Macaca fascicularis: one gene and its partners. The protein of the gene in region 1 interacts with the protein of each later gene in a pairwise test. Links are inferred from orthologs where the notes say so. Each region holds a gene or a part of one and is shown in the gene's direction. Other genes may lie near its edges.

Region 1 (4,165 bases):
TTGCCTCAGATTCCCAAGTAGCTGGAATTATAGGCACACACCACCACGCTTGCTAATTTTTGTATTTTGCTAGACAGGGTCTCGCCATGTTGGCCAGGCTGGTCTTGAACTCCTGACCTCAAGTGATCCACCCACCTCGGCCTCCCAAAGAGCTGGGATTACAGGCATGAGCCACCATGCCCAGCCTGGTGCTGGGAATCTGAAGAAGGAACAATGACCCTGCCTATGGTAGGTGGGGAGATTGCATAGAGGCAGAGCCCTTGGAAAGAAACACTTGAAGGATGAGGAAGAGTTTAACTGATTCGGAAAAAGGAAAAGCTCAATGTGGGTAGAGAGCCAAGGATGTTTGGAAGAGTGAGAGATGGGGTGATGAGGCCAGCTGAAGGAGGCTTTGGCAGTCAGGCCAGAATTCCGACTTGACTCTGAGTTACTGGGGAGTTCCTAAAGGATTTCGAGCAGCGGAGTTCCTTGGCCAGGATTCTGAAGGAAAATCTCTCCGGCAGTGGTTTCCAAAGACCTGGAGTCCTTTTATGAATCCATTGTCTTAGCTGGAAAATGGATGGCCTTATCCACTCCCAATCCCATCATGGCTTCTGGTCCACTTAAACCATGAGAATTTTTTTTCTTTTTCTTTTTTTGAAACAGGGTCTTGCTGTGTTGCTCAGGCTGGAGTGTAGTGGTGTGATCACAGCTCACTGCAGTCTTGATCTCCTGGGCTCATGCAATCCTCCCACCTCAGCCTCCCCAGTAGCTGGGACTACAGGATTGTACCATCATGCCTGGCTAATTTTTAAAGTTTTTGTAGAGATGGTAGAGGGGCACATCCCTCTGTTGCCCAGGGTGGTCTTGAGCTCCTTGGCTCAAGCAGTCCTCCCTCCTCTGCCTCCCAAAGTGCTGAGATTACAGGCGTGAGCCACCTTGCCTGTCCTGGGAACTGGTTTTTAATCAGCTCATCAAAACCTTCATCTCACTTGCTAACAAAGGGAGCCGCTTCCTTCCTCTCTGCACATACCCCATGTCTCACCATTATAATGGAGTTACAGTGGGACTTGGAATCCAGATGTGTGAAAGATGGAGGGGTTGAAGGTGCATAGAGGGGTGATGGGCAAAGGGGTCCAGGAGGTGATAACCCCAGGTATTCTTGGCCTTGGCCTTCCCCACCTCTCTGGGACTGGGCCAGTTTGAGCATCTCAGCTGCCTCTTCTGCCCGCCCACTCGTTAGCCGCACTCAGCTTCCTGCCCCACCAGAGGAAGTGGGGAGAGACGGCAGGTGCAGTGATGGCTGGCGGAGTCATGGTGAGTCCTTATGCCCAGAAACCCAGGCATCTCGGCCCCCAGCCCCCTATGCCTAGGGTCCCCAGACCCCACTGACTCTTCCTAGCCCAGGAACTCAAATGATCCTGGGGACCCTGCCTGCCATTGCCAGCAGCCTCATATTGTCCACCCCCATCCACAGGACAAGGAGTACGTGGGTTTTGCTGCCCTCCCCAACCAGCTGCACCGCAAGTCTGTCAAGAAGGGGTTTGACTTCACACTAATGGTGGCAGGTCTGGGGGGTTTTGGAGAGGGAACTGCAGAGAGGATGCCCTTAGGAGACCCTGGTTGTCCCCTCCCCTGACCAGCTGGGCCTGTTCTGTCCACAGGGGAGTCAGGCCTAGGGAAATCCACCCTCATCAACAGCCTCTTCCTCACCAACCTCTATGAGGATCGCCAGGTGCCAGAGGCCAGTGGTAAGACCCTCCCCACCCTCCCCAGGCAGTGGCCCCTGTCCCCAGGTTACACCCTAGTCTTTTCCATCTGGGGACTCAGGTAGTTGACTACTTTTTTCTGAGACTTTCCTCCCCTGGAAAATGGGTGCAGGCAACTGTGATATTAACAAAGGAAATTAATCTTGCCTCAGAGCCTCCCTGGATCCCTGACCTCTCCCCCCTCCCACAGCTCGCTTGACACAGACCCTGGCCATTGAGCGCCGGGGTGTGGAGATCGAGGAAGGAGGTGTGAAAGTGAAGCTAACCCTTGTGGACACGCCTGGCTTTGGGGACTCAGTGGACTGCTCTGACTGGTGAGGAAGAGGGAAGGGGACAGAGGCTCAGCCTCTCACAGTGGCGACTCCCTGAAGACCAACGGGTCAGTTACAGGGCTGGTTTGTGCTGGCTCCCTATTCCAAAAGGTTGTGTCTGTTTCAGAGGGTCACTGGGTCTCTGTGCTTCTTGATGACTCGCCTAGGCCCCCACCAGTTCCCTTTAATGTCTTTGGAGGGAGCCAAAGAAATGATGTTCTATTCCCACAGTCCTGGCTAGCCTCGCCCCCTGCCCTCTGGCCTTTGATCTCTGACTTCACATCCTCTTCCCACACCCAGCTGGCTTCCCGTGGTGAAATTCATCGAGGAGCAGTTTGAGCAGTACCTTAGGGATGAGAGTGGCCTGAACCGGAAGAACATCCAGGACTCCCGCGTCCATTGCTGCCTCTACTTCATCTCACCCTTTGGCCGGGGGTCTGGTGGGGGGATCCTGGGGGCTGGGGCATTTAGGGAGGGCTGGGGGGTCTCTGCCCCCTGAGGCTGGGCACTGACCAATCCCTGGGTGCAGGCTCCGGCCCCTAGATGTGGCCTTCCTTCGGGCGGTACACGAGAAAGTCAACATCATCCCAGTCATTGGCAAAGCGGATGCCCTGATGCCCCAGGAAACCCAGGCCCTCAAGCAGAAGGTGTGAGTGATGACCTCTGGCCTTTGACCCCAAGTGAGGCCAAACCTGATTTCAGCTTAGACTTCTTTGATCTTATTATTATTTTTTTTTTGAGACGGAGTCTCCCTGTGTCACCCAGGCTGGAGTGCAGTGGCGTGATCTCGGCTCACTGCAAGCTCCGCCTCCCAGGTTTTCACCATTCTCCTGCCTCAGCCTCCTGAGTAGCTGGGACTACAGGCGCCCGCCACCGCGCCCGGCTAGTTTTTTGTATTTTTTAGTAGAGACGGGGTTTCACCATGTTAGCCAGGATGGTCTCGATCTCCTGACCTCGTGATCCGCCCGTCTCGGCCTCCCAAAGTGCAGGGATTACAGGCTTGAGCCACCGCGCCCGGCCGACTTCTTTGATCTTAAAGTGGCCTTTTTGGAGCATAGTGTCTCAGGCTAGATTGTAGGAGAAGCTTCTGAGGAATGTGGGTGGTAAGCTGCCAGCCAGCGTAGCCATGTCTCTGAAGGCTCAAAATAGGCTAGATATGCAGCCCCTGGGCTAGATGCCTGGCTAAGGCCTATTTGGGGGCGGGAGCATAGACATAAGAACATGGTGACTTCCATCTGGCCCCCACCCCGTGTCTTCAGAGCCCTTTTCCACTGTTTCTGCTTATATATCTCTCAGCCTCTCTCTCTTTTTTTTTTTTTTTAGATAGAGTCTCACTCTGTGGCCCAGGCTGAGTACAGTGGCAAGATCATAGCTCACTGCAGCCTCAAATTTGTAGGCTCAAGTGATCCTCCTGCCTCAGCCTATTGAATAGCAGGGACTACAGATGAGCACCACCATGCCCGGCTAACATTTTTGGCTGGGCGTGGTGGCAGACACCTGTAATCCCAGCACTTTGGGAGGCTGAGGTCAGTGGATTACTTGAGCTGAAGAGTTTAAGACAAGCCAGGGCAACATGGCAAAACCCCATCTCTACAAAAAATATAAAAATTAGCCAGGTGTGGTGGTGTGCACTTGTAGTCCCAGCTATTCAGGAGGCTGAGATGGGAGGATCACCTGAGCCTGTGAGGTTGAGGCTGCAGTGAACCAAGATGGAGCCACTGGACTCCACCCTGGGTGATAGAGTGAAACCTTGTTTCAAAATATATATATTTTTTTGTAGAGATGGGATCTAGCTATATTGCCCAGGCTTCTCCTGGTCTCTTAATGTCTGCCCCATATTAGAATCTTGTGTTTCTCACCATCTATGTCTCTGAGATTTTGTTTTTGTCTTCCTGTACGTCCATCTCTCCCCATCTCTGTCTTGTCTTTCTGTCTCTGACCAGCCAGTATCTCTGTGTCTCCCTGTCTCTGGTCATGCAATGTCTGTCATTGTGGCCTGTTTCACACTGTCTCTGTATCTGTTTCCCCTGAGATCCGGGATCAGTTGAAGGAGGAGGAGATCCACATCTACCAGTTCCCTGAATGTGACTCTGACGAAGATGAAGA
Region 2 (3,607 bases), on another chromosome or scaffold:
CCCGGAAGGAGCCGAGCAAGACAGAGCAGCTGTCGTGCATGCGGCCAGCGAAGTCTCTGATGTCCATTTCCAATGCTGGATCAGGCTTGCTCTCCCACTCATCCACCCTGACTGGCACCCCCATCATGGAAGAAAAGCGAGATGACAAGAGCTGGAAGGGGAGCCTAGGTAATGACAGTAAATAAGGAAGATTATAGTCATGTGTTCAAAGAGAGCCATGAGACAAGCACCCATGCTTAAGGAAAAGGGATGATGGTCCAGGTTCTGGAGAGGAAGGTGTACCAGGGTTTTGGGTTCATATTCCTCCTGAGACCCTAGTTCCACATTCTGGAGCTCCTCCACACTTTGAAGTCTCCTGGTGAGAATACTGATTGAGGCCAAAGCCTAGAGGACAAGAATCTTGAGTTTCATTTGGGTGTGAAGGAAGGTAACTCTAATTTCCTCTAAAATATTCTCACATTTGACCTTTGCCATGTGGCACCTTTATCTTTCTCCAGAACCCATGTGGCCTTTTTGTCATTCAGAATTTCAAAATTCCAGCATTTCTGTGTTCCTTCCTCCTGTATAATAGGAGAACCCAGAGTTTTAGTTACGCTAAATCGTTTGGGTAGCAGGTTTTGTTCCCACAGTGTTCTGAGATGAGAACAGAATGTACTTTTTCATTCCATTCCTGTCCATTCCCTCCCCTCTAATCAAAACCCCAGACATATTGTGGATACCACGGGCACATTTTTAGAGCCTGAGGAAGGAAGCTTATATGTATTTTTATTTTAACCCTTTTTGTTGCTTTTAATTCCTTTCTTGGTCCTCTGATACTTATAATATCTTTTGGTTAGAATAAGCATTTTGGAGACTATGGTCATGGTGAGAACCTTAGATCACACAATTATTACCACACTTAATCTGTGTCAATAGACTTATTCTCCAAATCCTTTCTTGCTCCCTGGTAATGTGTGGTAATGGTTTATAAGTGGAGCCGAGTAGGAGCATTCTGACAACTTGGTGGAACCCAATCACCATTGGAAAAATAAATCAAAACAGATACCCAGGTCACTTACAGGCTTAATATGTTGTGCCAGGTGATGGATGAGGACCAGAGGGATCTTCGAAGTCTGTAAGAAACTTTTAGCCATGGTTGGAGGAGCCTCACACACTGATTTCTGGGTTCCCTGGAGGCAAAAATAAATAATTTAGACACATTCAAATTTCTTCTGAAATTTGAATGGGAGAACAGGTAATTAGATGTCTGGATTTGAATCACCTATTTTTTTCTAATGTCTGTTCCCCTTTCATTTGTAGGCATTCTCTTGGGTGGAGACTACCGTGCTGAATATGTCCCTTCCACACCCTCGCCTGTGCCCCCCTCGACTCCCCTGCCCTCGGCTCACTCCAAGACAGGCAGCCGAGACTGCAGTACCCAAACTGAACGTGGGACGGAATCGAACAAAACTGCAACTGTTGCTCCCATCTCTGTTGCTGCTCCAGTTGCTGCCGCCGCCACTGCTGCCGCCATCACCGCCACTGCTGCCACTATCACCACCACCATGGTAGCTGCTACTCCAGTTGCTGTTGCTGCTGCTCCAGCTGCTGCTGCTGCTGTTGCTGCTGCCCCGTCTCCAGCCACCGCTGCTGCTATTGCTGCTGCTGTTTCTCCAGCTGCTGCTGGTCAGATTCCAGCTGCTGCCTCTGTTGCCTCAGCTGCTGCCGTTGCTCCTCCTCCTCCTCCTCCTCCTCCTCCTCCTCCTCCTGCTGCTGCTGCTGCTGCTGCTGCTGCTGCTGCTGCTGCTGCTGCTGCTGCTGTTCAGGTTGCTCCAGCTGCTCCGGCTCCGGTTCCAGCTCCGGCTCTGGTTCCAGTTCCGGCTTCAGCAGCGGCTCAGGCTTCTGCTCCTGCTCAGACTCAGGCACCAACTTCAGCTACGGCTGCAGCTCCAACTCCAGCTCCAACTCCAACTCCAGCTGTGGCTCAGGCTGAGGTTCCTGCAAGTCCAGCTACCGGTCCTGGACCACATCGTTTGTCTATACCAAGTTTGACCTGCAATCCAGACAAAGCAGGTAATTATTCCCTTTAGCAGGTAACTTTTGGTTTAGTTCTGCTCTCAAATACAGATTTATTTCTTGTTGCCTGATGTCTGGGCAGAGTTATCCTTTGGACTGAATTTTTCATGTTCTAAGGGAGAGAGAAGAGAGTCTGTAAATGACTTCTCATCCACCAAGATGGGAACAGGCATGAGTGGAGGCCATTATCTTAGCAGAAGTAAATGAGGGAGGTGACAAGTCTCACTTTGCCATTGGCTTCATGAGGGCTCTGATGGTGTCTAGTTCTAGAAATACAGGTTTTTTCTTCATCCCTAAGTGTTTTCTAACCCTTATTTCCATTTAGATGGGCCTGTGTTCCACTCCAATACTCTGGAAAGAAAAACTCCCATTCAGATCCTGGGACAAGAGCCTGATGCAGAGATGGTGGAATATCTCATCTAAACGGCCAATTCAAGAGCTGCAGATTCTCAGCAAAAATGCTTTTAATCATTTCCCCCTTTTATTGGTTCTTGTTTTGGGGGTGAGGACAAGGGTTGGGGGGAGGGGATGTTTTTTAACAGGACTTTTTGTTGGAACAATGTACTACTTGAGTAATACCATGTGAACCACCAGTCTATTCTGGTATGCTTAGGGAGTACCTCTAAAGACAGATTAATCAGAATGTGCTCTAAAGCTTATTGTTTGAATTTATACAAATACTGGGACTGTTAACGGGTGGGCATACATCAGTGTTTTCAATGTGCTTAAATTTGTTTAAAATTTCCATATTCTAGATCATTTTTAACTGAAGAGCACAGTATGTGTGGAAGACAGTGTGTAATACGTAGTTTGGAAGTGGGAAGCTGGAGAGAATTGAGTGTGTGCTGTCTTGTATAGTTACTATCCTGTGCAGCAGCCGGAGAAAGCTCTCACCTCAGGCTTATAAAAGGGAATAGTTTCAGGAGCTATGTAAGCTGGAAAAAAGGTAGGGAGTTTTGGGGTGCAGAAGGGTGCTGGAGCTAATTTTTTCTTCCAATTTCCCATCTACCCTGCCCCAGGGAATTGTGTTTGTCTTCATTTCAGTGGTGCTTTGGAAACGGATTCTTTTGGTTCCCTCCTGGAGGTTCATACATTCATATATATGCTCTGGAATAATTTATGCATTTGGATAATTAATATATTGCTTTCAGATGCTGGGAGAGTACATTAACTGAGTGATGCACAACTTCCTCTCTCTTAGGGAGTTAGACCATCAGAGGCCTTGATGGAGACTTGCGTGAGGTGCTATATGCAGACTTTCATGGTCTGTGTGTAGCCATGAACATAGCTTGCTTGCATTTATTAAGACCAATCAGCTTAGTGTTTATTTCTTCTACAGCACAGATTCACTGGCTGGGGCTCCAGTCTCAAATTGCCAATCATTTGCAAAGTGAGGAAGGATCTTTGTTGACAGGTTGAATGCTTTGAATTTCTGGTGACTACTTTGAAATAACTTGTTTTGTGTGTCAAATTCTAAGCATATGTCTTAAAAGGCATTTTTGACTATCATCTCCAAGGGAATAACATGAGAAACCCAAAGTACTATGCTGCA
Region 3 (4,301 bases), on another chromosome or scaffold:
GAAACTACTACAGAAACCGACTACTTAGACTGGAGAGACAGGTGGTCCCCTAAGGGAAAATAAGAGTGTTAGGAGAAAGGAGAAGAGTGCTGGACAGTACATACTTAACAAGTATCCACTGGTTATTTCATAGAAGACCCAGAAATGTATTTATTTACAGTAATGTATTCATTACCCAGTAATGAAATCTGAGGGTTAGGAAGAGCAGAAAAGAAGGGAGTGTGGCAGGAAGGAGGAAAAATCAAAGTGGGCCCAAACAACATGGCAGCTAACAGAGATCTTGCAAGGAAAGGTCTACTCGTGGAAAACTCCTCCCAGGAATGTCAGAACTTTTAATAACGACATAGTAATGACACAAGAATAAACACACAGCCAAATGAGCAAACAACAGAATACAAAGTCTAGACATAGACACAAGTAAATATGCTAACATTATATATCAAGGGCAGCATTTAAATTCTATTGGGGCAGTTTGTTTAACAAATGGTGTTGACATAACTGGCTCTCCATCGCGCAGAAGTTAGACCCCAGCTCATACATGTATAAGGATAAACTCCAGTTATATTAAAGATTTAATTTTTTTTATAAAAAGAAGAAGGCCAGGCGCGGTGGCTCACGCCTGTAATACCAGCATTTGGGGAAGCCCAGGCGGGTGGATCACCTGAGGACAGGAGTTCGAGACCAGATTGGCCAACATAGTGAAAACCCGTCTCTACCAAAAATACAAAAATTCCGGGCGCCTGTAATCCCAGCCACTCGGGTGGCTGAGGCACGAGAATCGCTTGAAACCGGGAGGCAGAGGTTGCAGCAAGCCGAGATAGCACCACTATACTCCAGCCTGGGCGACAGAGAGAGACTCTGTCTCAAAAAAGGAAAGGGGAGGGGAGGGGAGGGGAGGGGAGGGGAGGGGAGGAGAGGGGAGGGGAGGAGAGGGGAGGGGAGGGAAGGGGAGGGGAGGGGAGGGGAGAAGAGAAGGGGAGGGGAGGAGAGGGGAGGAGAGGGGAGGGGAGGGGAGGGGAGGGGAGGGGAGAAGAGAAGGGGAGGGGAGGGGAGGGAGGGGAGAAGAGGAGGGGAGGGGAGGGGAGGGAGGGGAGAAGAGAAGGGGAGGGGAGGAGAGGGGAGGGGAGGGGAGAAGAGGAGGGGAGGGGAGAAGAGGAGGGGAGGGGAGAAGAGGAGGGGAGGGGAGAAGAGGAGGGGAGGGGAGGGGAGGGGAGGGGAGGGGAGGGGAGGGGAGGGGAGGGGAAGGGAAGGGAAGTAAAGAAAAGAAAAAGGAAGATAATTCACTGGGGGAATGTGGGGAAACCTTCCTAAGCTGGAAGCCAAGCGTGCCTCTTCCGTTGGGTTCCCATTACTTACGTCACAGGACATCGAGCCAATGGGAACTAGGCATGGGCGACGAGCTCACCCAATGGGGCCGGGGCGGGAGATTTGAAAGGTCCTCGGCCAGGGCGTGGCGTGGCAGATTCAGTTGTTTGCGGGCGGCCGGGAGAGTAGCAGTACCTTGGACCTCAGGTGAGCTGGCCTCCTGTCGCAGGCCTTGCGCCAGGAGTGGGCAGATGATCAGGCAGATCAGAGGGTCCGTTGGGCTGGCCTGCGCGCACACTGCAGGGCTGGAAGGAGGTAGGGATGATAGCAGGGTGGGGGCGGTGAGACAAGCGCCCGGATTGGAGCTAGTGTGCTGACCTGCTCCCTTTTACCAGCTCGGGCTAGCGCTTCCGGCTTGATCGGTCCAACCCCTACCTCTCTCTCTCTCTTTTTCTCTGCTTCTCACGGCTGTTTCCCTTCTCGGCCCAGCTCTCCTCCCCCTTTCCCTCTAAGGATGGCCCAGAAGGAGAACGCCTACCCCTGGCCCTACGGCCGGCAGACGGTAAGGCCCTTCCCTCCTTCCCCGCGCCCACATGACCCCGCATGGCGAGTTCCTGCTGGGAAACTTGAGATCGTGCAAAGAGCAATCCCTTATGCACTTTCTTTCCCGTTATGCTCCAAAGTACGCGCCCCAAGTTTGATGACAGAACCTGGTCTGGGCATTTGTAGCCAGCCACATCCTGTTAGGTGCTGCCAACTTGAATCTGACCAGCCAGTGACTACCAGCCGGTGAGGGCCTCTGCAGGGTTCATCACACACAAGTGATATCTGGGACTGAGCAGGCAGGGCCTGGCCTTCAGGCCATGATTCCCAACCCATGTCCTGAAAAAAATAAACTAGACAGCAAATATAAATAGACTCTAAAAGGATATAAAGTTACTGTTTAAAAGGTCCAGGAAAAGTCTAAATTATAATTTGGAATTAATGAGTAAGTTGAGGTAAGGATCTCAATGAATCTAAATGGATTTATTTCCCAGTTGTCCAGACAGATTTCATTGAGGGGCCTCCTCTCTGATTTGAAATGCCACCTTTATTATATATATAAATTCCCACATATATGTGGGTCTATTTCTGGACTGTATTTTATTCAACTTGCTTATTTGTAGATCTGTACCAATATCACTATTTGGGAAGAGGTTTTTAGGGGCATAGGGGCTCTCTTCTCTTGGCTGAAGAAGAAGGAAGGGGCCCTGCATAGGCTTTGCTCCCTGTTTGTGGAGCTCGGGCTTCCTGGAGAATCTGCCTGTCCCCTTGTTCATCAGCTCCCTCCCTCACGGAGCAATGAGTGAGGCTGTCAGGAATGGAGTCTGAATGAGAAACCATTGTCACTTTTACCTTGGTCACTCCTAAAAGAAAGTGTATCTATTATTTTGAGAAGCTGAAAGTGAGGCCAGGTGCAGTGGCTCATACCTGTAATCGTGGGAGGCTGAGGCAGGTGGATCACCTGAGGTCAGGAGTTCAAGACCAGCCTGGCCAACATGGTGAAACCCTGTCTCTACTAAAAATACAAAAATTAGCCAGGCATGGTGGCGGACGCCTGTAATCCCAGCTACTCAGGAGGCTGAGGCAGAAGAATTGCCTGAACCTGGGAGGTGGAGGTTGCAGTGAGCCGAGATGGCGCCATTGCACTCCAGCCTGGGTAATAGAGCAAGACTCCATCTCAGAAGAAAAAAAAGAAGGTGAAAGTGAGAAGTGGTCCAGGGCCATCAGAGTAGCTCTTAGTGTCCTTAAAGGCTGTTCTTGCAAAGGTGTAACCCCTGGTTATTGCTATAACATTCAAGGCCTCAAGCTTCTTATCTAAGCCTTAATAAACTAAGCTTTTTGGGAGACTTTGAGAATACCTCTGTCTAAACCCCTTGAATTGTGGGTGTTCACAGTAGACACCCAGCTCTCTACTGTGGTGTAGGTGAGAGGCTAGATGAATGGCTGTGGTGTTATGGACAGGACTTATACAAGTTGAACAGCTTCATGCCTGAAAAGTGTGGGCCAGGGCCAAAGAGGTGAAATGTTAGGTGTTGGTGTGAGTCTTTTGCCCCTTATCTTAGGCCTACTTAGGTTATTTTTTAATTTTTTAATTTTTATTTTTTAGAGACAGAGTCTCACTCTGTCGCCCAGGCTGGAGTGCAGTGGCGCAATCTCAACTCACTGCAACCTCTGCCGCCCGGGCTCAAGCAATTCTCCTGCCTCAGCCTCTCAAGTAGCTGGGATTACAGGACCCGCACCCAGCTAATTTTTTTTTTTTTTTTTGAGACGAAGTCTAGCTCTGTCGCCCAGGCTAGAGTGCAATGGCACAATCTCGGCCCACTGCAACCTCTGCCTCCTAGGTTCAAGCGATTCTCCTGCCTCAGCCTCCTGAGTAGGTGGGATTACAGGCACTCGCCACCACGCCCAGCTAATTTTTGTATTTTTAGTAGAGTGGGGTTTCACTGTGTTGGCCATGCTGGTCTCGAACTCCTGACCTCGTGATCCGCCTGCCTCAGCCTTCCAAAGTGCTGGGATTACAAGCGTGACCCACCACACCCAGCCGCACTGGGCTAATTTTTTGTATTTTTAGTAGAGACGGGGTTTCACCATGTTGGCCAGGCTGGTCTTGAACTCCTGACTGCGTGAGCCACTGCGCCCGGCCCTAGGTTGTTTATGAATAACCCATTTTAACATGGGACTGTGAGCAGAGGCTGGGAGGCAAAACTGTCACATCAGTGTTTCTCTTTGAATTGGGGGTGGGCGGGTGGGTGGCTCTTTAGCAAGGGGCTGAAATACTGCTTGCAGCACATTCCACCCGGGTCATCAGACAAAGGCACCCTCAGAGCTACCCCCTGCTCCTTCTCAGGCTCCGTCTGGCCTGAGCACCCTGCCCCAGCGAGTCCTCCGGAAAGAGCCTGTCACCCCATCTGCACTTGTCCTCATGAGCCGCTCCAATGTCCAGCCCACAGGTA

What was found.
Region 2: the proteins of SEPTIN1 (region 1) and AMOT interact in binary tests that used the Homo sapiens proteins (3 or more experiments, as listed by UniProt). The two-hybrid records come from large-scale screens. The link is inferred for Macaca fascicularis from reciprocal best matches to the Homo sapiens genes SEPTIN1 and AMOT.
Region 3: the proteins of SEPTIN1 (region 1) and AURKB interact in binary tests that used the Homo sapiens proteins (3 or more experiments, as listed by UniProt). The link is inferred for Macaca fascicularis from reciprocal best matches to the Homo sapiens genes SEPTIN1 and AURKB.

The regions. Positions count from the first base shown.
Region 1 is NC_088394.1:28,523,978-28,528,142, reverse strand, and holds the start of SEPTIN1 (septin-1), read left to right. Parts: upstream 1-1,258; 5' UTR 1,259-1,278; coding exon 1,279-1,296; intron 1,297-1,456; coding exon 1,457-1,547; intron 1,548-1,643; coding exon 1,644-1,730; intron 1,731-1,938; coding exon 1,939-2,062; intron 2,063-2,359; coding exon 2,360-2,494; intron 2,495-2,588; coding exon 2,589-2,706; intron 2,707-4,091; coding exon 4,092-4,165. UniProt on the Homo sapiens protein: Filament-forming cytoskeletal GTPase. May play a role in cytokinesis.
Region 2 is NC_088395.1:119,286,986-119,290,592, reverse strand, and holds part of AMOT (angiomotin), read left to right. Parts: coding exon 1-168; intron 169-1,299; coding exon 1,300-2,052; intron 2,053-2,380; coding exon 2,381-2,478; 3' UTR 2,479-3,607.
Region 3 is NC_088390.1:8,288,356-8,292,656, reverse strand, and holds the start of AURKB (aurora kinase B), read left to right. Parts: upstream 1-1,466; 5' UTR 1,467-1,512; intron 1,513-1,794; 5' UTR 1,795-1,819; coding exon 1,820-1,867; intron 1,868-4,134; exon of another isoform or gene 4,135-4,195; coding exon 4,196-4,298; intron 4,299-4,301. UniProt on the Homo sapiens protein: Serine/threonine-protein kinase component of the chromosomal passenger complex (CPC), a complex that acts as a key regulator of mitosis.